3 linked regions of the Neodiprion lecontei genome follow. The protein of the gene in region 1 binds, or shares a complex with, the protein of each later gene. Links are inferred from orthologs where the notes say so. Each region holds a gene or a part of one and is shown in the gene's direction. Other genes may lie near its edges.

Region 1 (10,856 bases):
CAGCTTTGAATTCTCTCATTACAGACTAAAATTTATACACAGCTACGCGTCAAGCGCATGCGTATATCAGCGCGATGGAACCGGATATTATATTATTACACGTTATCCAACATCCAGCAGAAGTGGTAATCCCCCCTAATGAAATTTTCTAGATTATATACACAGAGCGGTATACATAGAAATTAGAGCCAGAGATTAAGGCTTAGATTTAAAATTAGAATTTATAGGATTTATGAAATCGGATATATTTTTTTTATTTCTTTCTTTTTTTTTTTATTCGTGTTGTCGAATTTAAAACGCGATTAAAATCCCGTGATCCGCTTAAATCCTTATTTATAGACGGGGGAAAAGAAATACCGGCTCGCTGTTGCTAAAACGTCATTACATCATGGAAATTATCAATGTTAACAAAATTCGGGAATTTGTTAATATCTAGGTTGGGTTAGGTCGGGCTTGGACGCCTACCACGTCTCTCAGCTAGGGGCTGGACACATATATACTCCATATATAGAGGCACCATGTACCTTATACCTACCTACTTCTCTGTATATTGGAAACTACGCAGAGCGCGATTCGCACGAGTGACGTGGACTACGGTTGCGACTGCGTATTGTACATGTAACGTATCTCGTACTGCATCAGCGTTGTTGCCAGTTGCCTGACGGAAACTGCGTCCCTGAAAACCAACCCCTTATTTACACGCCGCCGGCGTGAAACTAATGCCAAGACGCGACCTTGGAATGAGATCCGTTCACGGCGCCGTTTCATGCCGCGAAGAAACTGCACCCCGAGTTGATTGTAAAATCAAATAATTATTTGGCAAAACAGATTCTGCATATTATATATTGAAAATATAGAAGAGGCGAAGATTATTATCTCCACGAATGTTGGAAAACAACAGATTTCTCACATTCGTCATATTATCGAGCAATTTTCCATCACCGATTGCCGATGTTTTCGAACTAACCGAGTTTTGTTATTGAAATTGAAGGAGGAGAAAAGACACGAACGAAACTGTATAAATCATGATGTCACAGCAACGATACTCTGTTTTTCTGGCATACGTTGTATCATCGAGCTTTTCACACTTTCAGCTTTATCTGAATTTTTGCTCGGGTGTGAAAAATTAAACGTTTAACATTGCGGCACAGATCGCAGCGCCACTTGGCGAATCTGACAGAATTTCCCATACGATAGGAAAAGTGATTTCTCAAACTTCCTTTATTACCATTTCAAGTGATTTTGAACATTTTCAAATTCGTCGTAATATTCTGACAGTGTAGGTACCGGTGAGTTCCAAAGATTTTAGGTTAGAGGTGACGTAACGCAGCGTAATTGCGATTGCTGAAAACGTGGGGTACGGTAGAAAATCCGTAACAAACTCAAGGACATTAAAAATGGAATATTTTCAAGTTAGGTTGCCTTTTTGAGGGCAAGGAAAATTCAAGGACATTTCCTGGACCACCGGACACCGTGGAAAATATCGCCAAGAAAGCGTCACCATATGTTTACCTCAATCCTTCCTCATCCAGTACTTGTTCGAACCTTCCATTCGACCAAAGAATAAGAGAGAAAGAGAGAGAGAAATGGTCGTGGACGAGACGTAGTCGCGACGTGAAGTTCGAGACGGAAGGATAACACGGAATAATGCAGCACGCGTATAACCCAGTCTGGGGTGGTTGGCGTGAAGGAAGGGTGGTGTAGCTGCTGCACAGGCGGCAGCGCCGGACGGCGCCAACTCTTCTTTTGAAGGTCAAGGTTCCCGCCCCTCGTTTCGCGCACGTCCCGGGGGCGGCGGAGCTTCGCCGTGTCAGTGTCACGAGCGCACACAAACCCCCCCAAGACCATCCGTACACGCCTCGCCGAGGGGCTGTCGGGCTGAGAGTGGCCTCGAGGGGCGGAGGCGGGGGCGGAGGCGGAGGACCAGCTCGGTGCCCATAGTATTTATAGAGCCGGGCGACGATGCGGTCGATAGCGGCGGCGGCGGCCGCTGCGCAGTTCGGAAGACTTGCCGCTCCACCACCACCATCGTCATAGACTGCATCGTCGACACCAAGGTGGTGGTGGGCTTCTGCGCCTGCGTTTTCGCGTATGCACGGTAAGCCGGTCCCCAGAACATCCCGTTCCTGGATGGATCCCGGGGCAAACCCGTGTCGTCAAATCTGCGATGGAATCCCAAAGACCAGAGAATCATCGTAGCAAATTTAACCTTTACCATGTCTCACGTGGATGTGATCTTTGGTACTCGCGTGATAATTTCTCGTTATGTCAACATTTTGGATACAAGAAGGCGCGCGGTTTTTGTACCAAATGAATTATCGAGTTATCTAACTATTGGATCTTCGACTAGACGCCTCAAAGAACATCCATAATTTTTTTCAGAATTTTTGAACTACTTGGAATAGCCCAAGTAAGAGTAAGATGCCAAAGACCCAATGTCACAGGCAACGTGTACCGAACACCATATGACGGGGTAAAGGATGATGTTTCTATTTCACATTACCTGGTGCCGGATGTAGCAGTGCTCGCAGGACAACTTGGTGGTGGTTTTGTTTCTGCAGAGGTGGTTGCAGGACCTGATGCGGTCAGAATATTCATACACGAGAGTAGTGCGTCGGTATACATCGCGTCCGGTGGTCCTGGAAACGTCCTTGAATTTGACTTGTCCTTGAAAAGTACTTGAAACTGCCCTTGAATTTTTCTCGTGTCCTGGAAACGTTCTATTTTTAATGCCCTTGAAAAACCTGAAAATTTTCTTGAATTTGACTTCTCGTTCAAAAGTCCTTGAAACTGTCCTTGAATTTTTCATGTGTCCTGGAATTATTCTATATTTAATGTCCTTCGATAAGCCGAAAATGTCCTGGAAATATCGTCGGACTTGTTACGGATTTTTTCACTGAACATCATGGACTTATAACGTACGAGAATGACGACAGGGATTTCGGACGAGGAAAATGATCGGTGACCTTGAATAATCCTAGCATCGATTTTACCTGCAGGTTAATTGTCAAATATGGGTAAAGACTGAAAATGGATGAAGATTTCAAAGCGATGCTTTATGAATGTCGAGGTTTTTTCATTAGCGCCTAAGACGTTTACGTTTGTCGATTATCGTAGAGTAAACATACCGCTTTTACAATAATAACATGCGATGGTGCAGCGTGTAGTTACAACTTCGCGGAATGATTAATGCTTTATATTGTTCACTAAATAAGAATAAAATTTATGAGTTTTGACACGAGTTGATCGGCTGGTGTAAATCAACTTCACGTCAATCGAGATTAAGACGTTCGAAAAAGGATCGTACCACATGTCCGCGACGGTCGTAACTTGGTTGTATTATTGTCGATGCATCATGAATATATTCCTTAGCGATTTGTGGTCAGCGAAATCAACAACGCGACTTAACCGCTTATATTGTACATACACGCGTTATACATGTCGGTATGAAAAGGCAACCGCGTGCATGAACGATTCTGTGAAATGCTTCAAGGCGTTTGCCCACACGAAGAAAAAAGATGAAGTATTTTTATGTAAAAATATATACATATATATATTATATATATCGCGAAGCTTAGAATATTGCGTGCACAGCCGCTTGTAGGATATACCCAAGCTCATGTGTATAAATGAATAAACGTGTCCGATGCAGCGGTGATTCACGTCGCGGAAAACGAAGTAAAAATATCAGCCTTACGAAAACATCCAGCAACGAGAATTGTCGCATGTATAAGAAACGAATAACAAAACTCTACCCCGTACGCTGCCAGATGTGAAATGTAAGAAATGCAATCCATTACTCTGCGTAACTTCTCGCCCGGGCGTAACTTCTCCTCCGAATTGAAGATGATAGTATACCGGTATGCTGCAAATGATGGGATAACGATTTTTCGGAATCATTGAACGTACCTTCCAGGAGATTCCGATGCACTGCAAAACGATGCTGATGAAAAAAGAGGGATGTAGGGGGTGTACGGGGTGTACGTCACTTACATTATACTCCTCTCCCTCCCCCCCACCCCCCCCTTTCGTCGGTCGATTCCTCCTCATCTCTCCTCCACCTCCCTCGCTGCACACCGCGGGTCAGGTGGAAACGGGGTGCGAGGGCACAGGGGTTGACGATGGGGGAGGTGGCGTGGCGCAGGAAAGCAGGGCTCGTCAGGGACAGGGATGAACCCTGCGAACAGTTTCGAAACAGTCTCTCATCGGAGTGGTAGTGCGACGTTCGGAGAGGAGGAGAGTTGGTTATGTCAGTCATGTTACGTTATGTTATGTTACGTACGACGGTAACCGTGCAGGCCGCTAGGTACATACGCTGTGTACATATGTACTAGACTGTAAATAAGGGATGCAACTTGACGCGATTCAGACTGATCTTCTTCCTCGCTAGCGGCTCTCTGGGGCACAAACTTCGATACGGGGTAGGGTTTCCAATTTTTCAGGGACAGGCAGGGAGGCAGGGATATAGATTATAGATGGATGGGGAGAAGATATTCTCTCTCTATATCACTTCATGCATATCGTTCCAATACATCCTACCAAAATCGAAACGAAACGAAAGACAGAGAAATTACGATGAACATATCAAACCAATGTCACACCGTACGCGTTTCATGTCGAACTCTGGAGCTTTTTTTTTCTTCTTTTGGTTTGTTAGTTACGGTACTTGTTCAACAATATCATGCCAACGAAGTGTTTCGAGTCTCGTTGATCTCTACACTCGCGCAGCTTGGCTGGATAGTGAATTTTTTCAGCTAGAAGATGGACCCGAGGATCGATTACGCGCGACTTTTATACCTCGGACTAATTTTTCAGTGCGGACTGCGCCGGTTCTGATCTCGATAATTGACGAAGAATGATTTTTACTTGACGTACGAACGTGACTGTAACAAAATTAAATTGCACCCTCGGGTACTCATGGCATGCGATTTTTGATTATCGCCACTACTCGCTTGTATCGATCTGTCATTTCTGTCCCTGTTGTGTCGCGGTACCAGCTGGCGCAGCTTGATCCCGGATCCGATCCGATACGACATCTGTATCTAGGTGCCCAACTACCTGGATGTCGCAATCGATCGAAACGTTCTTTCTTCTCTGTTCGATTATACACGTTTCTTTTTTTCTTTGATTCTTTGTTGGATTTGGCTGCCTCGAATTCTTTCGTTTGAATTTGTAAAGTTAGGTTAGGTTAGTTTTATACACTCGTTTCACAGGCCTCATGACAGCTGTAATCCTCCTCCTTGACTTTAGTGTTTTCAGACCATCATCTGTCCATATCACGATAAGAAGGATAAAAATGCGAAGAAAATAATGAAGATCGATTTCAATTCCAACACTTCATTTTTTTCGGGAACAATCTTGTGAACATGAATCGAAGAGTTCGTTCATTCGTCGATTCATTTTTCTGATATTTTGACATCGTCTGAAAAAAAAAAAATCAACGGACCAGTCTGCCCGTTTCTTACCGTTAATTCGATTTATAATTACGAGATCCGCATTCGGTTTTCAACATCTTTCAACCCGCTTCCAGAGTATTTTTCTATCTCGCGGTACGGTTCATTCTTCCTTCCAACGTTTTTCGCCGCTATTGCGTCTTGCCCGGTAGCTGGTGGAAGAGATCGATGAGAGGTGAAAAGAAATGAAGAAAAACGTTACAGAAGGTTGCCAGTCGGGGGTGAGGAAACGCCGAGGGATGTTTAATTTTTCTCTCGTAACACTATCCCTACTTTTTATCCCTTCCGTTTCCCTATCCAGGATTCTATCTCTTCTTCTTTATCCTGACGAGACGGCGGCGCTCATAGTTTCAAGTTGGGGTATCACAACCCCGTTTGTTGTCTTCTGGGGTTGGTGGTGGGGGTCGAACCGTTGCGTCACAGCTGTCAAGGGCAGCGCCACCTACAGTACACACCTACACCAAGGTTCTTCATCTTCTTACATCTTCTTCGTCGTTTTCCAAGCAGTAGAAGATCAATTACGGCACAAGTCGAGTCGGTTTTTCTCGCCCTTCGTTGTTCCGCACTTTTCGGTTTGCGCATCGAGTTATCGACGAGACGGAAATAAAGGATCTAGATAATTCTACCCTGTTATAATACCCTTCGATTTACGCTCACTGTGTAACCTGTTTCATTTCACTACTCGAATTCTCATATCGTACAACTATGTTTTTCTCGTTTCAGTTACCAGGCTGCATTGCGAATCCGAGTCCTTCAAGATGGACCTTATACTGGACATCAACAGTTGGCTGTACCCGATGGAATTGGGTGAGTAGGATCTGTGAATGTTGCCGAATGTGTGCTGCGTGTAGTTCGCCTGTAGCATAATTCAATTTTCATTCAATCGAATCCAATAAAGAACCGCTTCTTCTTGATCTCATATAACGACGCTGATATTACGCAACGCGTACTGTAATCCTGTGCAGCCACGACTCATCAACCCTCTTTTTTCTTCCTCATTCTCTTCTGCTTTTTGTTTTATTGCAAAATACAAACCTAACGTACAATAGAAATTTTCTCATCTGTCCGACGTTAAAGGGTATCCATTTCTTCGTCGGCAGTTTAACTTTATCATCATCATCATCGTTCCGACAAAAGGGGTGAAATTGCGTTCCAGTTTAATAAATCGTTTCACTGTTATTTTCTCATCATTTCGTTTTACCGTCGATATTTTTTATCTCACCACCTTCAACAATTGCGCACTTGCATAGATAGGTACAGAGAAATGCCTGTTCAAGTGGTATACATGTAGATAGAGAGAGAAAGAACTGTCCGCACCAACGAGACTGAAGTTAGTAACGTTGACTTCAAGAAACCGTCAGTGAAGAAAAAAAAAAAAAATCATTACCCTGTAATTTCTGAATGACGTTCAAGAAGTTGACTTCTCGAAATATACGAGTATGTTTGATTTCTGTTTTTTCCCCCCTCATCACGGTTTAATAAATTTCAAAAAATCCTAAAATTGCGAAGCGTTGATTTTCCCCGAACATGAATCGTTCACCTTAACGTTACCAACATCATCCTCGTTCACGCCGACAATTTTGCAAAAATCTTACAACAATCAATGATCTCGGGGAATTCCGATTCCAATATTAATTGTCAGGCAACCAATTACACCCTCCCTTCGTCATCGTCATCATCTTCATCTTCATCGTCGTATTGACCGTACCCACGTACGTACGTACACAAGTATCACTGATCGTGAGATACCTGAGGCAGCCAGTGTAAACTACAGTGGTGGTGGTGGTGGTGGTACATCAGTAGTAGCAGCCATGGTGGGCTAGGCCGTCCGACGATGGTGAAGCCGAGCGAGGCAGGCTTGGCCGGCAGGCCTGCGTGCTGTATTGACGTGCGGGCTGCGAGGCTTGCGCGGCATGACGCAATCCCTCCTCTCCCACCCCCCCAAGCCTCTCCTCCCGCCCCGATTCTTCCTCTTCCTCCCCCTCCCTCCCATCCTCCCACCCCGTCCCTCCCCGACTTCCCCGCACTCCCAACCCCCTCTCTCTCTGTCTCTCGTTCTCCCCGCCACGCGCCGCCGCCACCCCCGAGAACCGTCGACTGCGTCGCCCCGCCGCTTCCTCGTCGCCCCCCATCAAGTTCAATGCCAAGGTCATACCGCCGCGCTCAGAACGACGTCGAGTGCTGGCTCGGACGCCATCGGCGCAGCTTCGCTCCTCGCTGCTGCTGCTGTTGCTGCTGCTGCTGCTGCTGATACTCATCGTCGCTGCTTGGTTTTTCTACCCCACCCTTGCGCTGCTGTTGCCGCTTTTGCCTGCTGTTGCTGTTGTTACCGGTGACGATTGTGTGCTTCGAATTTTCGCGTCCCTTGGGTTCACGTATTTGTGCTCACATACTGCGATTCTGCTATTCTGCTGCTTCTGCTGCTGCTGCTGCTGCTGCTGGTGGTGCACCTGAAAAACCACCTGCCCGACGACAATACACCGTTGCAACGTACTCTTTCTCTTTCTATATATTTATATATGTATATTGTATGCCTATTTCTATTTTATGAAATTTATAATCGTTTTTATTAAGCCTCTTTGACTAATTATCATTCTATGTTTATTTCTTTATTTTTCTCTTATCTTGATATTATATCTATGTGTACAGGCAGCGGAGGAATGTAATTCTTTCAATTTATCGTATTCTAAAGCACTCGTCTTTGATGTTTGTATCGACGTCTGGTCGGACGATGATTGGGTATCATTGGAAATTGATTTATTGATTTATTGAAAATCGAGGCTTGCGAGGTTTGTGGTTGAAAATTGGGAATTTAGGGTTAAAAATGAATATTGATTTTAGAAAGTTGAGATCAAAATTTCATGTCGACTGTTCTCGAAATTGAAAATTAGAGCTTTATAGTTCATGGTTAATAATTAAAAGTTGAAAACTGAGAAGATTGAACATTTTTTTTTTTTTTTTTTAATCAAGATCACATACTGTAACTTTGTAAAATTTCGTATTTCAAGTTGCAGGATTTGCATTTGAAAATTTTATACACGTAATAAAAATTCGATTGAAAATTGAATCATGTTCCGCGTGTATGTGTGAAATTTGTACGTAATATATGATTTATTCATGTTTATTTTTCATTCTCATTTGTCGATTACAACAAATTACGTGCTTGTTCTCATAATATTCGTTTGTTTCGTCAAAATCACGATCGTGTCTCAGTCATTATTATTATTATTGTTGTTGTTGTTGCTGTTGTTATTGTGATTATTAATGCCCGTCATTTTCGCGCGCAACAAAATCGCTTACACACGATATACGTTTACATTATATACAATGTTGCGCAGCTGATCGTTCGAATGTAACTTTGCTTACCGTGCATGGATATTGAATAATCTTTATACACAAATCTCTTCCCGTTTTATCGAACATACGCGAAACGCGAACCACACCTACGTCTGCACTCGCGGTGAAATAAGAGAATCGAGAAAAGAAACAATACGGAAAGAAAATACAGGAAACGAAAGAAAAATAATAACGATTGTGATAAAACTGCGGTGTACCGGTTCTCATAAATTTTTATTGTTTGTATTTATTTTTTTCAACTTTCTTTTACGCCGTCTTCCGTTTTCTTCCGTTTTAGATTTCACTCGATCCTTGTACTTTCTTTGTAATTGTAAATTCCGCTGAAATTGCGCGAAAAGCAAATGGAAGAAAAAAAGAAAAAGAAAGAGATTAGTTAATCACATGCAATCCGTAATGTGGAAAGAAAAATTTCCAATGATCCTCTGTACACATTAGATATATGTATACATTGTACGACACGTTTATCAATCATCAACAAATTTTCAAACGCGTCCATCACCTTCTCTAAATTGTTTTTCTCCATTTTTCTGATCCTGTTTTACTTTCTTTTTTTTTCTCCTTCCTCCAATCATTTTGCTTGCACAAAATTTAACAAAAAAAAAAAAAGTAATAATTTTTGTCGCGTTTTAGAGTTTCGTGAAACACGACGTACGTTTCCTTTTTTTTTTTTTTTTCTTTTTTTCTTCCTACCTTCCTATTCCTTCGATTTTTTTCGTCACTTTGATGCGGACAAATTTAAGCGTCTCGTTTTTGGTTCTGTCTTTATATCGTTCCACTTCGTATTTCAACTTCAGGTGCGAAGTTTCGTCTGGTGCTCGCGACTACCTTGAGGGAAGACGGTTATCCGGACGGTGGCGAATGGAACGCGATCGAACAGGAAGGCGGCTCGAGGGCTGACAGTTTCGAATACGTTATGTCGGGTAAAGTTTATCGCATCGAGGGAGACGAGGCAAGCAACGAACCCAGCAGCAGACTGTAAGTAACACGTATTAACTTTTATATTTTCAAAATTTTCCTTACTTTTCTTCGTTATTATACTTTAGACATTTATCTCTTCGTACACGGTGTAAAAATGTGAATCTGAAATTTGTGGACATATTGTTTAATTATGTTGGTATACGTGCACGTACGTTGAAAATGTGAGAAACCCATTCTCGGAATTAAGTCAACGAAATCGGAAATATGAACGAAAATATTATGATGATGAAGTAATTAGAGAGGTAAAAAAAAAAAAAAAAGCATTCAATAGGAAAAAGATACTACTAAACGGATAGTTGTGAAAACAATTCGCGTGAATTTATTTATATATCGGATAGAAGTTGAGGAATATCTTCCCCTCGGAAGAAGAAATAAGAAAAAAAGAAAAAGAGCGTAAACAAAATTTTGTGATAGAATGTAAGAAAAATTCGTTTCAAGTATTCTGGGTAATCCGGTTTTAAAATTCATAAATGAATACACGGATAAGCAAATGACTCATTCAAATCCATTTTATACGATTTTTAATACCCTACTTTCTATAACTTCAAACTTGTAGTTAAATAAAAATATTGTAGTTATCATCCCGAATTTTCATTTTTCATTTTTTTTTTTTTTTATTCATTACATAAACTAGTCTTGAACCGGAAATAGCATATTGAGAAACAGAAAAAGACGAAAAAAAGAATACTGCGAAAATCTTTCGCGAAATTAACAATGCAAAAAAATTGTGTAATAAATATATATGTACAGAGTTTGGTATAATGCAATGTATATGCATGCAAGTTGTCGTATATTGTGAGATAAAATTGATAAAAAACAAACCAGTCTGATAAGAGTCGAAGAAGATAAGAATTACGTTGGTATAACATAATATATGATAAAATATACGTATATATATATATATATATACCGCAGCAGAATTTTTTCCGTCCCACGCAATGTTTCAACGAACACGACATGCGAAATTTTGCACCTTTGTCATTACGAGTCCCCACCAATGATGAATAATGAAATTCTAATTAAAAAAATGAAGTAAGAAATGAAATTAAAAAAAAGGCATACAAAGAT
Region 2 (9,638 bases), on another chromosome or scaffold:
GATATGTACTAGTGGATCACTAGGTGGGGCACAGAACTGAAACATAATTGTGTTGAAAATCTTCAACATCTCTTACAGAAAGTAGGTACGTTGCCAGACCTTATACCTATACCAACAATGAATATTCGTAGAGGCTATATTCATAAATACTTACAAAAGTAAGCTAATATTTTACCCGCAATTGCTTATTACTGATAACTTGATATGATAATATTCCCTACCCGCCCCTCCCCGCATACATCTACTTCTACTCCTACTCTACTCCAACTCCTACTACTACGACTACTCCTATTCCTACTCCGACTTCTACCACTTCTACTTCAACTCCCACTACTCCTACTCCTGATCCTACTCCTACTCTAATGAATATAATAAAAATGTTATACTCACAGTGTACAAGTCCTCGTCATCCTCGTCCTCCTCCTCGCCCACCTCGATCACCCGCAACCACCGCGAACTACCTCGGGTTATACCTTGAATAGTAATGAATATTTTTAGTATAAGAACACATCAAAAACACTATTCAAGGATTAATATAAATAATTAATTAATCAATAATATGATGAATTTTATTATATAGGAAAATGTACCTGCCGAAAAATGTCGAAAACACAGGTTTTGTTTTTTGGCTGTAACTTAAGATGCGTTGATCGCAGCGTATTGGGACTGCGCCCAATCGTTTTCTCTCGCAAAATTATGTCGGAATAGTGCCACAATTAATTAATTTCAGAACTTTTCAAAATCGCGAAAATTTTCGCCGAAAATGCAAAGGGGTTAATCTTCCTTTTTTTTTGACCAAAAAACTTTTCGTCTTAGAATTGATTCGTATGACTCTTGTCCGACCAATTGGACCCCAAGGAACTCAGAAAACGCAGCAAGAGGAGCGTGAGATCAACAGGAGCGAAATTGCGATGGAAAATGTACCTGCCGAAAAATGTCGAAAATTCAGGTTTCCGTTTTTTGGCTGTAACTTAAGATGCGTTGATCGCAGCGTATTGGGACTGCGCCCAATCGTTTTCTCTCGCAAAATTACGTCGGAATAGCCCCACAATTAATTAATTCCACCACTTTTCAAAATCGCGAAAATTTTCGCCGAAAATGCAAAGGGGTTAGCCTCACGTTTTTCTTTGTTTTTGGAGCCAAAAATTTCTGGTCTTAGATTCGACTTGTATGACCCTGTCCCGACGAATTGGACCCTCAGGAACTTAGAAAACGCAGCGAAAAGAGCGTGGGATCTACACGAAAGAAGTAACGAAGTAACGATCCCTCTCGCAAAATTACGCCGGAATAGTGCATAAAAGAATCAATTCAGCACTTTTCAAAATCCCTTAAATTTTCGCCAAAAGATATGCTGTGTTCTGAAAACCGGGAACAAATTTTATGTCTTTCGCTAGGAACTCTCAATCCGTTGCTTGCAGCGTTTTTTGATTCTCCACAATCGATTCCTTTCGCAAAATTACGTCGTTAAAGTGCATCAAAGAATTTATTCCAGCACTTTCCAGAATCGCGAAAGCTTCCGCAAAAAATGCAAGCACGGAAATTTCGAAGGAACGATGAACAGCTAAAATATGACAAGTAAACAGATTTCCGTTTTTTGGCTCTAACTCGTGATCCATCGCTCGCATGCTCGCATTGCTCGTATCCGGATTGCCTGCAATCGATTGCACTTGCATACTCACGTCGATGTAGCGTAACGAAGAAAGAATTCAAGCATCAATTTCAACTAATAAAATTTCCAGAAAAATCAGAACGGGCCACCACTGTTTCTTTGTATGCCTGATTTACCTGTTTATAAAACCGTTGAAATTTCATTGTGTGTACCAAATAAATGAGGTCCATCAGCTGAATAAATCATTAGAATGCTTTTGTCTATACAACGATATAGACAGTCGTGCGAATTGTAAGAATGAAATTTTTCGCTAACCTGATTCTTTCAGTGGTGTACAAACTCTTTTCTGGTCAAACGGAATACCTATCGACGCAACAGTATTTCGTCAATGAAAAATCATCATTGATAATCATACAGATATTATCTTAAAATATTTTATATTTCTTCTCTACAGTTCGCTCCAATATAATATATGTTTATTTTTGGTTTCCTTTACATACCTATAATTCTGTAACTTGCGACTTCTGGTCTTTAAATATTGCGTGTATAATATTCATTCACAGGATTTACTGTGCCTAAATCATAGCGAAACGAGTGAAACAGTCAAGTTCGGTTCTGTACATGACTGAATCAACGATTCATCAACGATATGTTTATTGTAACACAGACCAAATTCATTCACACATGCAAGGATAATATAATAGTTGTCATGTTATCAATATTGATCACGTCAAAGATTTCACTGAGGAATTAACAATTTGTTATGGCGATCCCTTGAAATGAAACGTATAAACTTTATGTATACTGTAGGGCAATTTGATTCTATAAACAGTATGAGTTCCAATTGAAATTTAGTTTTCATTTTTGCACGCGAAGGTGAAAATCACCCAGTTGTGTACAATATTGAACCTCAGCATCGCAATTAAAAACTAAAACACTTGTGCATTTATCGTCTCGATTTATCCAACACGTGAAATTTCTCAGATTCGAAATCGCATTCATCTGATGTAGCGAATAAGGTAATTCTCATTTCAGTTAACGATCGTTTTGTGAGCAGCTCAAGTTGCAGCTGACTTTGTGGCCTTGATCCAATCAATCTCAAGAGCTGCCACACCTGGTTGATTCTCCGGGAGATACTGTCCGTTATCCACTTTCAATCCAACGTTGGTGATCGATGTTACATCCAGCGGATTCGTCTGCAACGACAGCTCCATCCCACGATGGTACGGCTTGAATTCAGCCAGGGGCAATCTCACTGTTGCAAACTCCTTCTCGGGGGCCTGCATTGAAAAATAAAGAAAGAACGAAAGTGTCGTGACCTTTTCCATTACCAATTGGGAGGCGCCGATAATTACCGCGAATATTTGACCGTAGACGGCAGAGTCTTTATCGAGCCCTTTGTGCCGGAGGAGCATTTTGTACTTGGTGTTGATTCCCTGGCCTCTGCAGCGTACGGTGATGCTGTTGAATTCCGAGAGATCAAAGCTGGTGTCACAGCGGACAGACGCGAATCCGGATCCGTTTGGCTGTGGGTTGAACAGGGTGAAAAGTATCGCTCGCTGGAACTGCTGCGTCTTCTGCGTAACCATCACCGCCTTCGACATACCGGATGGTTTCACGGTGTCCGAGTGTTCGGACCAACTTCCGGCCTGGTCTGAGCCTCGCGTGAAGTCGAACAAAATCTGCACCGTTCTGGGGAATAGCGATAACTTAGCGAAGCTGCGTCTCTTTAGAAATTTACCAAATTGGCAATGCTTACCCGGAGGCAGTGGCGACCATGTCATTTCCGGTGTCGTTTGATGATTTCCGAGAGACCGGGTGTCTCCTCGATCTCCTTGGAGTCCGGGTCGAAGTCGCAATGGTCTCTGAGCTGCTCGTCTTTTTACAGGCACGAGGCAGAAGTTCGCTGTGCGCTCTCGCTCTACTCCCCACAGAAGGGAGGAGCGGAGACGTTTTAGTAGGAATCGTGATTCTTGAACTGTGTGCCGTTTTGGGTGGAAAGAGGGTAGCGGGGTCTTTGCGTGTCGCGCTGACATTCAAAAGTCACGATAGATTCGTAGGCGGTATACGTCTCCAGGGAAGAGCTTTGCAACGACGATATTCACAGACAAATTCCCGGTGCTCGATTTTCTTATTAGCATAACAACGATTGATTTATTAAAACGGTTCATTAATCGCTGACGACGAAAATTCTCCACCACGGATTTAAGGGTAAAACAGAAATTACAGCTTGCAAGTTACGCGCGTGGTGAAACATTGTTGTTGCGAGATCATACGCTGTCACTTAATTAACTATAATTCGACAATGGGAATTGCTAGTAAACGTCAACCGCGGTGGATGATTGGATTCAATTCAACTATCTATCGCTCCTGAGGAGTTCCAAGCTTGACTTCCTTAGCTTGACGGAACCTCTGATCGACTGGGAAAAATTGTTTGATCAATTTTAACGTACTGGGTAGATAATATTTCGTCCTCAATTTAGCTTTCGCGTACTACGTGTGTGTTATAGGTACGTGTCAAACAATGTATGTCCGGTCGAGGATTCCGGCTCGTTTGAAAATAAGGTGAAGGTAAATTCTGAGGTACACGTGCGTTCACACGACGTCATTGTCATCAGGTTTTCACTGTATATACACATAACGCGACAGTTTTCGTATTTCAATAGATATTACTTGTCAGGATACATTTTGCCAAAAATGTATTTTAAAAAGTTTGCAGCGAAACAAAGTTGTTCTTTTTATTTCTACATGTAAAATAATGTTTGTGAAGAAAACGCGCTACAACTGTCGGTGATACGAAACAGTGTAGAATCTGATCGGGATTCCTCCTCGAGGACAGATTTTATTGATCAAACAGGTTTTCCAAGTATGCGTATTACGTATGTTGTTACAGTAGTTCGAACAGAAAATTGTCCTAAATGAGGTTTATATTTCGATTCTAGTAGTACAAAAATAGAGCTTTAATATTGGCATGCACTTTCTGGCTCGTATATTTTTCACATTATCAAGTGTTTATGTATCTCAAAAAATATTTATCGATTTCTTGTTAAGAGGAGTATCGTTTTATGACGAAACATCGATAGTGTTAACTTCAAGCGAAGAAACGCCACTTTGATGAATGGCTCCGTAAACACCCCCGTATACTTGTAACCCGAAGCTGGTGATATTTGTTATGTCCAGAGGTTTTGCGTTGGGAACAGCTTTGCCTCTGTAGTAAGCTGTGAAATTTGCCAGAGGCAAGGAAACCGTGGAAAATACTTCCGACGACATGGGGGCCTAAAAATCAGAAGGTAATTATTCAGCAAATAAGAGTGTAGAATTTTCCCTGAATAAATAAATTTACGGCTGAAATCTGGTCCCTGAAATACAATTCAAGAAATGATGAAAATCGTATGGCAATACGTATATTGCTGGTCGGTTATTTACCTCAAAGAATTGCTCGTAAGTTGGATAGGGCTCGTTGTTCTCGCCATCATGACGCAAAACAATTTTGTAGCCAGTACTGTTGCCCTGAGCTCTGCAGTTTATATGGATAGTGCTAAGCCCGACAAAATTCATGACCGTCTCGATTCTGACGCCTGCAAATGCTGCTCCATTTGACTGAGGGTTGAGAAGCGTGAATAATATTGCTCTTCGAAACTCTTGCGTTTCTTGCATTACAAACACTGCCTTTGATTTGCCGACAGTTCTAACCGTGTCTGATTGCTCCGTCCAATCGGAGACATTGTCTGACGATGTAAAATCGAACAATGAGAGACTGATGCTTTGTAAAAAATAAAAAACAAGACATTAGCAACTCGGAGAATTGTCTTTTTCAATAATAGCAAATATCATGATTGAAAATGATAAAAAACTAGGAGAAACATAGCGAGATTTGATGAACAGCTCGGTGCGATCGGAATGTGCGGCTATAATCTATCCACGACTATCTATCTACTCCAGAACCATCGGAAGGTAATTCGAAATCTATTTACTCCAGAGTGTATTTAATTTTTTCTTCTTCCGAAGTATCCCGCGCGTGTAACAAAAATCCTCTCAAGATGTTCTGGGCTTGAATGTTCGACAGTATGAAGGATTGGGGCTTCGAATGGAGCCTGTGATTTATGTACGAATCAAATATTTGGTAACAGTGATTTCAAATTTTTTTTAGATCAATTAATAATTAGCCACCATCTACAACTAGGCATTAATTACGCACATTGTCGATTGAAGATGATTGGTATGAAACAATGTTGTAACGAAACCTTCGCCTAATTCAATAATAAATATAAATTATATTCTAATTATGGGTCATACGCTAGATAAGAGATATGATAGACATGGAATGTGTGTAATAGTAGCTTACCTTTCGTCCTGTGAAGTGACAGCAGATCCCATGATTAGAAAAGTGCCTGTAATTATTAAGCAAGTGTTCAATGCCATCTCGGGCTGGTTTTTATGCGAAGAGATGGGAACTTATTTTTGGTAAATTAATCTCCGTCAGATAAAAACGCGAAAGCAAGATAAGGTAAGGGCCGAGTTGACCGCGTTGACAGACGAAATAAGACTGTGAAACTAACGACCAGTTGCTCCTTTCCCGGTACATTTACAACGAGAAATAATACCGGTAATCTACGACAGCCTGACTTGAGCAGCGATTTATATTTAGACTGCGAAGGATGTTACGCAACTAAGAAATCTATGTATGAGGTCAGCTGACGGGTTGTTATGTATATAATTCTAAGCGTCTATCTCCTATCTAATCGTGTTGTGTAGTTATACTTCTGTTTCTTGTTCACTTTGTGTCATTATCCGGTAATATTATTGTAATATCCCATTACTGGTATATCTGCATATCCTCAGGAACATTTACGACGTCGACTAAATTTCTAAAACCTCACGATCTACACGATGAAGATAAAATTTTTAATTGCCAATACCAGCAGCGGTTTGATATAAAGATACCGCGAACAAATTTTTCTGGTGCGTATGTCCCTCCTTACCGATACCCGATAAATAAAAATGAATTGGTCTATTCCACTATCATCAAATTTTTGTTTAAAATTAAACAGTGAAATTAATTGATTCTAATATGTATGATGTCACTGCATTTTACCTTATTCCACAATATCAGAGTTCCCTCATGACTATAATACGTCTGTGCTTCAAGATTGTTAAATCTTTTGCGAACGAATCACTCTTTTCCGACGCTAATTACTTCGTTGATTTATTGAACTTCATCACTACCGCCTGTCGGCTGCCTTTCCGAATTATCTACAAGGAAACGTTTAGTTTCTTCCTTGTACGCCGACGCAACAGGGATGAGCATGACGTGTTGAAGTAGTTTTCAGCCGCATGTTACTACGAAATTTGAAAAATATTCGTGGATCGATTTGATCGAAATTATACATATAATACATGCAAATATTAATACACTTATTAGCTCTCATGATAGATTATGATATGTTTTTGTAGATTCTAAAGGTGGTATTGGAGATTACGAACTCATGAAAGCATCGTTATCGTATTCGGACAAGTGAAAGAATACAATATAAGTATAACATATGTTATGTGAGACTCCTATACGAAAATTGGTATCATTGAATCTTCAATTATCTATTCACATATTCCATTTAATCTTATTTCATTTATCCTTTCAGAAATTTCACATCAGATATCTTAATTTTCGTGACGTCACAGGCAATTTGCAAAATATTTGGCTATTTTTCAGGGACTTACAAGTTGCGAAGAGCAACAAGTGTTCCATTGCGCCTGCGGCTATGCAACCAAAACGCATCAGTAATACAAGTTGCCATTTCACGGCGTTACGCAGGTTGTATATGACACTCGACAGTTTTGATCCTAACCTCAAAGTGTTGACGAGTCGACGACGAGCAAGCTACAAATAAGTAAGGAAAAATGTCAACCGTCACCTTCAAGACGGATCCCGGATTTTGCCCTGACTGCGGATCGATATTACCGCTGCTGGTAAATGTCGGCGGTGTTGCTTGCTACAGCTGTAAACGGAACTGGGGAATAGAAGGTTAGAAACAATTTCAACACTACTCTAGCACTAATCGTTGGAATCGCCACGAGGGTTGAAATTCACGTTCGCGTTGGATTACCTTAGGTTGGTTTAGACTAGGTTAATACGGTGGATATCCAATGTCGGATTCGAAATAGAAATATCTTGATCAACGCACCAGGCTAAATTCACGGGATCTCGTACTTACTTAAATTTCGGAGTAAATTCGTCCAATCTAACGGTGCACGATATTATTCAAATTCACGTGACGCACGACGATGGCGATTCGAGGGGTTCGAGTGCAAGCTCAAATATCCAAATTCCCTAGAACGTACCAGATGCAGAGAGAAACTAGATGGTATTTTGAATAAATCGAACAGTATAAACACCAGATAGAATTTTGATGTTGGATTAAAAAATTATTAAGCTGGTTTCCGATTGCAATCGCGGATCATGAACGTATAAAAAATCGGTTCCTTATTCGATTTAAATAATAATGTGTGTTTGTAATAATTTTACATTTATTTAAGTACGTTCGTTTTGCTCTTACAGTTTTCGGGGATATGGCAGTGTCGTACACCCTCAATTTCAACAGTAAGGACGCCTATGCTTCGTCGGCAAGGCAGGGAGAAGCCGCCGACGATGAAGACGAAGCCGAAGGTCCGGTCGTCGAAAGGAGGTGCCCTCAGTGTCAGAATGACAAGATGTCCTACGCAACGCTACAACTCAGGTCAGCCGATGAAGGGCAGACAGTTTTCTACACTTGCACCAAGTGCAGGTAAGTGATTTGAGTTTTGTTACTTAAAAATTTCGTATTCAATTATTGTTTACGGCATTCACACGCGTTAAACTTGTCACTCAACAGAAATTATTTTTCTTTCAGATTCAAGGAAACTGAGAACTCGTAAATTCTCGAATTACTTGCGAGGTGACCGTTGCGTATTAAGGTTTAGTTTATAGTTAATTATATATGTAATTTACGTTTCCTTGTACCCAATACGAACATCAATTTATACTCACCCACATGCCTCGTTTTATACACGAACAACAAATGTAGCGTTAATATTTTGACTTAATAAAAATATCATGCGTGTAATAAAACATAGAACTTTATTTATTTTACATTTAACAAATAATTAATAATGGGTATTACAAGCAATTGTTTATAATACTAAAGGGTTGTTTTTGTTTTTCTTATTTTTTTACTTATTCCTTCTCCCTTTTTTTCTTACTCTTATTCATTAAAGTTACTTTAACAATGCTCAGAGCACTTTTCGTACTTTAATTAAGTACCTCTTCTTGTATTTACAAGTTTGGGTAACGAGCTAAACTTCAACTATTACTATTATAGTTTATTTATTTTCTATGTAAATCTCACCCTTTTTTACGATAATGCTCAGTGGTCCTTTGTATAAAAACCTCAAATAGTTGACAACAATGAATTATTATCAATTATTATTATCATTTCTATTATTATTATTACTATTATTATTATTATTATTATTATTATTATTAGTAGTAGTAGTAGTAGTAGTAGTAGTAGTATTCACGGTAACGTATATTTTGATTAGATCGACATATAAAGTTTTGCAGCCGATCCAAAGTCGACGACTTTTTTTTATTTTTAGCCCATAGATATGCGGTTTTGTCGATCAGGACCATATAAGAATGAAAAAAAGTTAGATAGAATGAAAAAAGTAGTCAACGAGACAAATAGCTGCTAGAAAGTTTTCTCAGAATTGAAAAATGATTGTACATTACATAGCGTTCTTGTACATACGAACGTGCCGACAATTTTAATATAGGGAAAAATTATCTGTAGAGTTGAGGCGATGTTTCAATAATATTATTATTTTATTATTATTATTAATAATAATTTTTATCTTTCAATATTTATTTATTTATATTTATAATATATTAAAGTTTTGATATAAAGATTAAAGTTACCCGTTTGCTGTTTGTAAAACAACACGCTCTATACAATGAAATTTGATAAAATTTTATTCATTCATTAATTTTAGCTCA
Region 3 (11,765 bases), about 1.5 Mb from region 1:
ATGCGAACGCATGGCTGGATTAGCTCGATATCAACTGGCCACTTATACTGCAATAACGAGAGTGCAAACGAAGCGTTGGCGTTGCCCGGCTGTAGATGCGAGCGCTTAACTGGATTAGCCGGATATCAACGGGCGACGCTCGACATCTTCTTATAAATGGAGAGCAAAAACAACGGTCTCCTCTTGCCTATAAGCGCCCGATAGATGCGGATAGAGACTCTGGCGATTTATCATCCTCCAATAACCGGATAGCGTGAAGCGATTGCGTTTCCGTTCCAAAGCTGATGGCTTTGAAGTGGGAAAAGGTATGTTGAGACGCGTGCGCCCTTCACTTTATTTTTTCATTAATACCGTTTTTAGAATACATGCAATTCTATGCCATCATACGTACACATCTGTATCCTTCTACTGTATACATACATATACACCTCCGTGTGTAATTCATGCATTTTCAATTTAATCGAACTTGCCCCCTATCAAGTATTTGCTTCAGCGGCTGATTATCAATTTTCTATATAATAATTCGCATATTTACATGAAATCAATAAATAGTACACAGTGTATTGTACTACGTTACTTGCGTGCTATCTACGGCTTTTGGCGTTCGTTTAGAGTTCAAATTGGCTGAAAACTGTGAAATGCTACAAATTGACGAACTCTGGCGCTAGAGTCATGCCGTCGTTTTCTTACACTTCCGACATTGCGCTACTGGAAATTGCGTGGTTAATAATGCGAATAAACAGGATGGTACTACCACACCAACCACAAGCCACAGGTTCGTTTAGGGTACAGATATTTCCGTGTAAAATTTAATTGAAATGGTGGCAATTTTTTACTTTTTTTCTTCATTTTTTCATCTCTAATTCTATGCTTTTCCAAAATTGACTGATTTTTGTTGTCGTTCAGCTCTCGATATGAAATTATTAGAACGAGGCCGCGAGAAACATATATGCTTGATATTTGACGGTTCACGTGCCGAAAATTAGTCAATGAAGTGCATTAGGTACACTCGTTCTCTAACAAAATTCATAATTCTTTACTTTGCGCTAGAGAGTCTGTATTAATATAATTTTCTTAACAGATATCCATCAGGATGAGCGGACTATTACCTCCATTGAGATGAACTCAAGTTGGAATCCCTCGAGTGAATAAATGCCATCCACGGTGAGAGAAGCAAAAAAGGTGCCGGATACAAGGCAGATGACACCGAACATGTGCCATTACTTCTGGTTCAGCTGACTTTGTTATACCAAAATAAATGTATAATACATGACTTCATCAAAATAGAATCCTGTGTACTCGCATATTTCCAATTCCCTGCATTTTTGTACACCACCTGCGACTGCAGGAGACTTGTCAGTTGTGATTGTCGGGAGTTCACAAGGAGAAAGACAGACTGTTGGATTTTTATACAGCTGCTTATTCCCTCATTGAAGAACAATTCTTATTACCTATACTATTCGTATGTATTCAATTGTATAAAACGGGATTTAGAGTCCGGTAAGTGATACCATTGCATAGCGAACCCTCATGGTATGAATTCTGCGAATTTACCACTGCGGTTTCGTGGAATCTATGCCATTTTTACATTTCTGTGTCAAATGAAAATGCGCGGAGTGGGTTTCTTCAGAGTTGTGCATAAAATGGGGCCGCTAAGCCCGGTTTCGCTTTTGAGATATATGGACTTTGATATTTGTATATAAGTATACGTCACGTCGCGATCGACCAGGGCACCCCCTGAAGTTAGAGTTTGGTACATATTTTCATACCACTAAAGGAATATCGCCGATAACTTCATAGTTATATTTTTCTATACTTATATATGTTTATATAATTGTAGTTTAAAACATGTTTTCAAAAACCGCGAAAAACTATATTTCATACTGCATCAAACCCAAAACTACTCTGAGCTGGAGTCTGTTTGCCAGACCCTCAATTGATTTGTCTCAGTTTCCGGTTTCCGCCGCCCGTCATGTGCGGGTCTGCACTTCCCAACAGTGTGTGTTTGATGCTCGTAGCGATGCATGCTCCTCGTGCACAAATTCGTACGGATTTGGACAGATAGTGATACAGTTTCATCGAGCAATCGTTTAATTTTTAAAAGAAACGATACGACGTGCAAGCAAGCCTGTTGGATAAAAAGAATTTCATTCACAACTGCCCAAAGGTGAGTACCGTAACGACAATTTGAACCGGTTATTAAATTGGCGTTAACCTCACAAGCCATCACATGGCGATCGCGAATGTCGCTCACCCGTCTGGTCTGCAAGCGTCAAATTCCAGGTTTCGAATATTCGATAACTTGGACCTTATGTCGTTAACATCTTGCTTCATCTTATGATAATACCTACATATGTTTGCTCGCGTATTTCATGACACTAGGACAGCCCAAGCTGTGAGAATCAGAAAATTCGTATCCTCGGAATATCTTTTCATTAATATAATTGACACTAGAGATCGTTCAGTTATTCGTAAAGGTGGCGATTGTTGTCAATTTCTAAGTATCTGAGCATGATAAACGCAGGTTGTTGCAAGTATTGGCAATTCTGGAAATTTTCAGATGTCTGTGACCTCGTCAAGGCTCAGCAGTGTATCGTCGATATTGAAAGGCCCAGGCATCAGAGCAAAAATTATAAACCAGGCAAACAGAGTACAATTCAAACTTCCAAAAAATCTCAAGGATATATTGCTTAGCTTCGAAAGTGGCACAAGTCATAAGCAATATGAAAATCTTGTGTGTACCATTCGTGACTCGGAAATTAGGGTATGTATCATTATACTAAATTTTTAGTAAAGATACTTTTAAACATAGTCGTAGTTTCTATCTGTTTGCCATGTCTTACAACTCTCAATTGTTTCCAGGAAAGTGAGTTGATAGATTTGTTGACAGAAACACACGCTTGTATCTCGTTACTTGGCCCGTCACATAGATTATTTATCGAGGCACTGCTGACGCTTAATTGGACAACCAGATCGTTGCAAGTAACGACAATCTACAAAGGATTTCTCGAAGATCTAGTATCTGCTCATAACTATCATGCCAAGCTTATAATAGACAAGCTAGTAGATCGATTTAAATCTGGTAAGTCAAGCTGTCACGTATCTGACTTGACCCATAACTGATTTGCAACCTTGAACGACCCTCTTCATCTAACTCATTATTCATTTTCAGAAGAGGATGACAATACTACGGAATGGGAATTTTCCAAATCAAAAAATCAGGATCTTCAAACGTTAAGGCATGTGCATGACGTCCTGCGAATGCTTATGAAAATTATTCCCATGTAAGAATATGAATTCTTATGCACTACCGGACAGACGAGTTATTTATAATGCCTCCTAACTCTTGTGTTTCATTTGTAGGGCTACCGACGTTTTGTTACAATCACTTGTAGCAAATTATCCTTACTGGAGGCTCAACACGCAAAGACATGAAATTTACATATATGCCCTTCTTCAAATACTGGAGTATGCCCCACATCTCAGATCTGACATTCTTTCACTGATAATCAACAGGTATTTGAAATCGGACCTTGATGCAACGTGACGCGATATGAATTACCTATTGTTCTGGAGATAAATTAATCGTGAATATCGGTCGATCCCTATTTTATAAATATTTTTGGGATTGTTCTTCTTAATCAACCAAATATAAATCAAACTTGATTAGAAAATGACCTTTTATTACAGGACGTATTTTTATTCATAATATTGTTATTTTTTTACTTGTATTGTATCGATAGACCTTGAGTGTATCGATAACCTTGACTTAAATTCAAACTTATATTCAGTCTGGACAAATTAAAGATATGACAGGCAATTTCAGTCAATCGTAAGAAACTTTTTTTGGCAAACAAATGTAAGAGAATGCTGTTACGACTAGAATAGTTTCTATTCTTCTCTTGCTCTGAAGGAGCAAAGACATTAAAGTATGATCAAGTCGAGTTTAGGAAGATTGCGAAGGTGGTTTTAGAGAAGCTGTCCCCATGACGAGAATATATTATCTAATTACCTACGTGTGTACTGTTTTGTTTTCAGGTTAATTGTTTTGGACGTTTATGCGCCACGATCGGAAATAGACGAGTGCGAAGATGACGAAGATATGGAGGAAAGTGACGATGCGGCACAGATCATATTCGCATTAGACGAAGTGCAGGGTGATGCAATAAAAAATGAGAAACAGAAGGAAATACGAAAAATGAAACATCCTGTGGCGCACACGTTGGACGTATGCATGGAGCAGGTGCTTGCATATATATATAACTGCTGCCACAATCAGGGAATTCTCAACTGGGAATCGTTGAAAAGTCTCTATCACGATGTCCTAAAGATGTTTGAACAAATAATATTGCCCACGCACGCCAGTCAGCACGTACAGTTTATCATGTTCTATATTTGTAGTTTTAAACCGACAGTATCCGAAGCTTTTGTAAATTGGCTGTGGCAGAAAGTCTCAGACCCAAACGTTGCCCCTGTTATACGGCAATCTTCCGTATCCTATATCGCCAGTCTACTCGCCAGAGCTACATTTATTCAACTTGAGTATGTCAATCTTTAATAAATGTGAATTCTATATTTATTTTACGAAACTTATCCCTCAAAATTGCACAGGTCTAGTCTTGACATGTCTAGTGCGATATTTCTAAAATTTACTTATCAAGGCACCCTAAATAATAAAAATTTCAATTTTACAGAATGATCAAAACAACGTTATTGAAAATGTCTATGTGGATACACAGTTACATATCGTCGCAAGATAGCCTCGAGTGCGCCAATAGCGATGTAAGGGTGCACGGGGTATTTTATACCGTATGCCAGGCAATGTTCTACGTCATTGCTTTCAGGCACAAACATCTCGTCGAGACTAGAAAAAGTAAGTAGACATGATTTCAGTTCAAAGATTTCAATTTCATCAATGGCCATCACTTGCAAACTTTTATATTTTTTCAGACTTGTTGTTCCTTCAAAGCCTGAATCTGACGAAGATTATAGCTTGTCGACTGAATCCATTAAAAGTTTGCCAATCGGCAGTAGTGCGGAATTTTGCGGCTGTAACGCGCACCTACCAGCTGGCCTACTGTTACACAATAATCGAGCACAATGCTCGGAGTAATCTACCCGTCGTTCAAAGTACCAATCGTGTCACTCTTTGGCTGGATACTTTCTTTCCTTTTGACCCCTACATTCTCCTGAGAAGTGGCTCAAGATTTACCTCGATTTACATGGTATATCAAGGCAGCGTCTCCGATGAGGAATCAACATTGACCACTTGCAGAGATGATAATGACGATGACGATTTTATGGATGAAACCTCAATTCCTTTATCGAGCTCGTGCAATCATATGGATGTCTTCTCTTATGGAACGTCACCTGGTTTCTTACAACTCTGAACATTCAATTCTATGTAGGGACTCGCAATGTCTCAGGTCTTGTCATAAAATATCTACAAATGGTACCTATCCATCTTTTTATATTACAAAAGTATTTTATTTATTTGTTGATAATTGGAACTACTAAAATATGGACACATCACTGGTGCGCATTCAATATTTTATCCCAAATGCTACAGATTTTTCTAAGAAATTCATTAAACGCCTAGCAATATTTCTAATCAAGCGTCGCACACCAAGCTGTACAGTACGTTGTGCAATGAATTGGGATGATTTAGTTCAATTGATTGCGTGGTAAACTTGATGTGTAATCTTGTACATAAAGATGAATTTTACAAATGATCAATAATTTGGATAGCAGTATAAATTGATTCGAACATCTTTTAATTCTGCGTGTAATGTGTATAAATATACAAATACTGATTTTCTTGGTCAATTTTCAGTTAGTCTTTATCGTGATACTGAACTTTGGCGGTTGAACGCCATTGAACTACACTATACTAATGTCCTCGGGTGCCTCGTCCTGCTGACCAAGTAACACAGTCAGAGCATGCTCCAAGTTTTCAGGCAGGTGGTCCAATAACATCCTTGGCATCACTGATAACTCCATGAAGTCTTCAGCTTGGGCCCAACGCATTTCGTACCGACATTTGTCACTTCCGTTATCATCACTGTAATACACTCGAGGCTGGTTATCGGATCTTAGCTCAAATGAAATATTAATCTCAAAAGAGGTGAATTTTCTGAGTTAGCATCAATGAAAGATTATTATCAATCAAAAAGCATACATAGTTACGACGTTAAAAGGTGAAATATTCAATTCGCGAATTACCTGTCTTTTTGCTTGAGTGCTGATTTGAACCTTGAAATATGAAGTATACGCCCAGCTGTGTATAATCGAACGCTCGAGTACCTTCGCATAGCCACATTGCGTTCCAATAACGTTGCATCCTTAAAAAAGAAAGAGCATTGCACTAGAGAATGACTCAAGGTAACGGATATATGATTCGTTAATGGAATACCACCAGAATATAATTATTTGCCAAAATGCTACATTTAAAAATTAGACGCGTCAAACAGGAATTTGATAACCACTTGATGTATTGTTTTTATATTCTAATTCAGACTTCTGCTGCTATCTAATGACGATCTAGAGGAGCTATTAAATTATACTCACCATCTGTCTTGTGGGTGGATCGGAAAGGAGCGGAAGTTGCCCTTGCATAGATCCAATTGTGTTACCGTTTTGCCACAACTTTTCGAGGTCCCTCTCAGGTATACCGAACAAAGTATAACCGAGACCATTGAGGACCACTCTGTACTGAAATCATTGTGAGTCTTTAATCTATTTTTTTTATGACTACTGCGCGAAACATTTGTATTTCTTTTTCACAATACATCGATAAATCTGACATGCCGCAAATGATATTGATGTAGGGGCATATGTCGTATGGAAGTATCACATTGCATACGGATTACCTTGGGTAAACGGCAAGCCTGAAGGGTAATAAGTAAAGAAGTCCTGAAATTTTCAATGCTGTCTACACCGAGTCTCATAACGAGGTCATCGCCAAGACCTATTGTGAAAACAAATTCTTCGGTGATCCTGGCAGCTTCTCGACTAAGTAATCCAGCTGTCATACACACGAGGTAATTGCGATTAAGCACTTGTCAAAGGTATATAAAAATTTTTTAGACGGTATTCTGGTGTGAAAATGACTAGGGGTAAATTATTCGCATTCGTAGTGCAGGAACAAATTAACAGCATCTCTATCCGCTTTGTGTAAGTTTTAAGAAATTGCCACGGTATCCGCTCACCTGGTGTTGAGAACGCGTAGACTCGCAGATTCGGATAATGCGGTCGAATCAGCAGGGCCAGGAGGACGGATAATCCAGCACCCAGACTGTGACCTTGAAAATATTTGAAAATTTCAGACCCGTGTGATATACATTTTTGAAAGTTGTACGCAATTACCTGTGAGCGTGAGGTTGTAGTGCGGGTACATGGTAAAGGCTTTTGTGAGAATCTTGGATTGATCGAGCTGTTTCAATAGCACCTTGGCACCAATAATCATCCCTCTGTGAGCCTGTAATAAATCGTTGATTGTTACTTTTGCCGAAATTGTGCCAATTTCAAAGAAAAAGATTCACTTGCCATAATTTACGTACCATACTACCCGGTGGTAGGCCATCTGCTTCAAATACATCGGAAGCTGCTGCAATATCGGTAAAGAGATCACGCAAAGACAGCGATCCCCGAATCACGATAACGATACTTGCAGTTTTATGGTCGGCAACCACGCAGAAAGGTATCTGTCGTTAAGATGAAGAAAAATTCTGTTAGTTTCGTAGAAATGTTTTTTCCAGTTTGTTGGTTCATTTCATTTCTATTCACCTCGCAAAGATGGTTCCGAAACGATGCGTATAAGATATCGTCCTCTGATAGTCGAGACAAGTATTTTACACCTGCAAGATTGCACAAACAGCAATTGTCATCTATCACCGCGTTGTGCTTCCGCCTAGAACAAGCCAAGTTGTCACAACGAAGATTAGCGATAGTTTGTTACGTCAGGTTCACCCTGCAACTTGTATAAGTAAACTTTTAATTTCATCTTTCTGAAATCAGTAGTTTTACAGTTTAGTTCAATATACCTGAAACACGCGCAACAAGTCATGTATTTGGCAAGTCGGAAGCAGCCCGTACACATATGCTGATACATGACAAATATCCAAGCGTAAGAAGCTACGGATAACTGCATGTAATGCTGAGCCCATTCTAGGGACATCCAGCTCGGTGCAAGACGAAAAATTTCCCGTGCATCTGCGTCAAATTAGGAGAGAATTAATCGAATAGAAGCAATTAGGAATACTATCGAATGAGAGAAATTATATTATTTAAGCCTTGATCTCACCGGAAGTATATACTGGGCGATTTAACATGTGAAACCGCCTCAATTCAAGAGTCTCCCGCTTTTGTCTTACTCTCATCAGAATACAGCCCGCCATAACGTCGGATGGAACTAGATCTGTGCCTCGAAACAGTGCGCTCAGTAATCCTAATACATACGATGAAAACGAAATTACGTTTTTTCAAGTTGAAAAAATGAAGCCGCTGTAATTTGACATATCTAACCGACTTATTTTACTCAGAAACGGACCAGATGCGAATCATTTCTAAGCATGTCAATGTTATGCGAAATTTGAGAAGTATAAGCTTCGATTTTTATGTCATTAAAATGACATAACGCAGTCTCTATCTCTAATAATCGGTGCTCCGCAAAATCGGTGCAAGCTTCGTCGCATACAACGATCACATTACAACCTCACCCATATGTACCTATGTCTCACCAGCAACATGTTGAAACGTTTCGTCGGCACTTTCGTCTCGCTGCATCCACCATAAAAATTTGAACCTCCGTATCCACGTGCTGGATACTTTGCGATGTTCCTCGAAATCTTGTAAAGTCTTATCTCTGAGGCCTAAAGATCCTAGAGGATCGAACACAAGAGCCATTCCTAGCATCGTTAAGCCAAGTAGTACCCAGTGGAACAGAACCAGCCCTTCTACGACGGGTATCGTATAGTTGTCATCGGAACATTCAACGTGTCGAGTGAATATCCAAAATGTTCCTAGAACGTTCCACACTACTTCGGGGAATAGTAAGAGTACCCTGAAACATCAACGTATGTATTACTGTTTTTCAGCCACACTCATTCTACAACATGTTGACCATAGGTGGGAGGAAATACTTGAAGGAAGACGGGTGATCTGCGAGAGGGATTGAGAACTGCGACCTATGTGGCTTACTTGACGGTCAGGAGCGGTTCGACCAGTCGACGGGAGTATGTGTCTGTGATAGCCCCTTTCGAACTGTGGGTTACTACGACGAATAACAGCGTGGCGATTATGCTCAGGAGCGTTAGTTCCCCAGCTAGGAATACACGCACTAATTCTCCACCGGTACGGCATTTCCAAGTCTCGTCGTAGTATTTTATGCACGCAATCGTCATTAGGATTAACCTGAGGGAATGGGCAAAGCTGTGACACGTGTCTAGAGGATTTTTAAGTATTCACAAGGTAAATCAGGTTCTATGGAATATTTGGAAAATGTCTATTGACGTTTAAGCCTTACCAAATAATTCGAATGAAAATTTCGAATAGCCCGGGATATACAAGATCGTCAGTAGCCGCTAACCACTTGCGTCCAAATAATTTCAAGGCTGGCATTTTTCTAAAAAATAGAAAGTTACATTTTCTTAATAATATCCAGAACTACCATTTGAATCTGGTCTCGTTGATATTCCTAATTTCGTTGATGCAGTTTTTATAATACTCGAATTCTGTAAACAGTCAATGATATTCTTTGAAATGGAGACAAATTTTTTCGTGCTACTGGCACACAGATTTTTCGCCAACTCTTCTTCCGCAGTGCAGTGTTGGAAGGTGGATTTACGGCGAAGGATTTCATTTTGCGTTTCAGCAAAATTCCATGAATTATAAATAAATCATCACAGAAATGCTTGTCATTGTCTCGTCGCGCTCCCGTTAAAAACCGGTTCTACATAATGACATGCACATTATTACTTACAGGGAATGCAAACAATCCGAGTTGCTCTTTGGCCGACGTACGTTAATGCGAAATATTCAAATTTGTCGGCCCCGTGTAAGTTTAGCGGTGAAATTTTACCGCCACGGTTCTCCACTTTGTTTAACTAATTACTACGTCGCGACCACACTACACCGCAAAGCCGAATTGTGACTTGTAGGTAGACGTAAATGATTGCTTATACACACATGTAGCTCGATATCGACACACCAATTGCACCTGCGTATTCTTTCAACAAATCACTGCTTATATGAATAAATAATTCAGAGAAATGCGCTTGATCTCGTATTTACACCGCAGCTGGGTAAAGTTCGAAGACAACCGTCGCGTCGTGATTTTTAGTGAGGCTGCCGTTGAAATGAAGAAGCAGTCTCTTCCTTAAAATTTGTCAAACCGTTTTAACGATACTTATACATATATGTGTGTATGATACATGGTAAAAACCGCGACTGCTGTGTACTAAGTGCGTCTGTACCAAATTACGGAATATAGTGAAAGTTGGCGCAACGCGGAGAAAGCTCCAACCTGTACAAACTGTTCGCTCTATCATTCCTATATTGCGTCTGTTGATCCTGATGCGGAGTGTGTGCTTGTTAAAACGAAGAGGTACGCACCGCATGTGTCCGCGCGTGTATGTGAATTTGTACGTATGGCAGATGCCCGTAGGTTCTCGTCAAGGCTTGAAAATCAAGTTTCCAGCAAAGAAAAAATCGTTTTTAGGGCCTGATACGGCCATAAAATAACGACTCCGTATGCATATGCTGCTGCAAACTGCAACGACATTTGGCTAGTACCAATTTTTGTTTGCACCCTATAATTTAAAGAACTTCTGAACCTTTTTTTTTTTTTGTTTCCTTCCTACTGTGATAAGAAATGATGGTGCAAGCAGAAATTACTTGTATATTACCTGAATTGCTGTTGCAGTATTAAAGGAAGGTAAAAGGTATAATTGTACGTACAGTGATCATTACGACGGTTGCGTAGAATAACCGGCTATTTCGAGTAAAGTTCAAAAACCGGCTATTTCGCGTTTGAAATTTTTCGGACGCAAATTAAATTGGTAGCACTATAGATTGTGTTGGATTATCATTTCGGCATAATGACACTTAATGTCATTACCAATTTAATGACATTACGAATTTAATGTCATTATGCCAAAATGATAATTTTCAATTTCATCTCAATATACGCCTGATGCTTTACACTTTCATTTCATGACATTTAATGTCATTACGCCGAAATGATAATCTTTAATTTCATCTCAACATTCGCCTGATGCTTTATACATTCATTTCTGCATTACAATTACGTAGATAAGCATATAATACCTACATTCACAAAAACAGATTAATTGTGAAATTAAAGCATGAAGTAAAAATATGATAGCGATGCTGATATACCCATACCTCGCTTTACGGCCTAGATATGTTCCGGAAAAATTGGCGACGAACGAATCAATTATTTTTTCAGAAACCCATAACAATTCAATTGGGTCTATTCCAATTTTTCATAAAACAATATACTTTTTAGTTCGTAAAGCATTTTATTCTCTTTATTTTCTATTAAAATGGTTACATAAATATAATTTTTTTGCAATCAAAAAAGCGACCTAATTAAACAAGGCCATCATAGCGAAATGCCGTATAGAGAGGTATAGGTGTACTTGATCAATTGATTTTTCTCAGAATCATAACGTTCGTTGACTTACCTTTTATATGTATACGCACGAATTCGAATCAGCGCATAATATACGCGTTAAAGCGTAAAA

The links.
Region 2: DNA-directed RNA polymerases I, II, and III subunit RPABC3 (region 1) and DNA-directed RNA polymerase I subunit RPA12 share a complex: the UniProt entries of both Homo sapiens proteins name them as parts of the pol I pre-initiation complex. The link is inferred for Neodiprion lecontei from reciprocal best matches to the Homo sapiens genes POLR2H and POLR1H.
Region 3: DNA-directed RNA polymerases I, II, and III subunit RPABC3 (region 1) and RNA polymerase I-specific transcription initiation factor RRN3 share a complex: the UniProt entries of both Homo sapiens proteins name them as parts of the pol I pre-initiation complex. The link is inferred for Neodiprion lecontei from reciprocal best matches to the Homo sapiens genes POLR2H and RRN3.

Annotation. Positions count from the first base shown.
Region 1 is NC_060266.1:1,948,964-1,959,819, reverse strand, and holds the start of DNA-directed RNA polymerases I, II, and III subunit RPABC3, read left to right. Parts: upstream 1-4,155; 5' UTR 4,156-4,170; coding exon 4,171-4,249; intron 4,250-6,176; coding exon 6,177-6,260; intron 6,261-7,048; exon of another isoform or gene 7,049-7,445; intron 7,446-9,604; coding exon 9,605-9,785; intron 9,786-10,856. Other genes in the region: protein UBASH3A homolog, read right to left, coding at 2,504-2,709, 3,910-4,050. UniProt on the Homo sapiens protein: DNA-dependent RNA polymerase catalyzes the transcription of DNA into RNA using the four ribonucleoside triphosphates as substrates.
Region 2 is NC_060261.1:29,555,177-29,564,814, forward strand, and holds DNA-directed RNA polymerase I subunit RPA12, read left to right. Parts: upstream 1-7,311; 5' UTR 7,312-7,507; coding exon 7,508-7,631; intron 7,632-7,713; exon of another isoform or gene 7,714-7,814; intron 7,815-7,821; exon of another isoform or gene 7,822-7,926; intron 7,927-8,165; coding exon 8,166-8,391; intron 8,392-8,496; coding exon 8,497-8,521; 3' UTR 8,522-8,714; downstream 8,715-9,638. Other genes in the region: uncharacterized protein LOC107225986, read right to left, coding at 2,668-2,889, 2,965-3,301, 3,369-3,388; uncharacterized protein LOC107225988, read right to left, coding at 4,673-4,885, 5,036-5,372, 5,955-6,031. UniProt on the Homo sapiens protein: Core component of RNA polymerase I (Pol I), a DNA-dependent RNA polymerase which synthesizes ribosomal RNA precursors using the four ribonucleoside triphosphates as substrates. Can mediate Pol I proofreading of the nascent RNA transcript.
Region 3 is NC_060266.1:453,360-465,124, forward strand, and holds RNA polymerase I-specific transcription initiation factor RRN3, read left to right. Parts: upstream 1-1,976; 5' UTR 1,977-2,167; intron 2,168-2,560; coding exon 2,561-2,764; intron 2,765-2,862; coding exon 2,863-3,082; intron 3,083-3,172; coding exon 3,173-3,284; intron 3,285-3,363; coding exon 3,364-3,516; intron 3,517-4,038; coding exon 4,039-4,542; intron 4,543-4,694; coding exon 4,695-4,873; intron 4,874-4,950; coding exon 4,951-5,390; 3' UTR 5,391-5,611; downstream 5,612-11,765. Other genes in the region: diacylglycerol lipase-beta, read right to left, coding at 5,881-6,061, 6,223-6,341, 6,568-6,711, 6,870-7,024, 7,209-7,301, 7,366-7,477, 7,560-7,703, 7,786-7,909 and 5 more. UniProt on the Homo sapiens protein: Required for efficient transcription initiation by RNA polymerase I (Pol I). Required for the formation of the competent pre-initiation complex (PIC).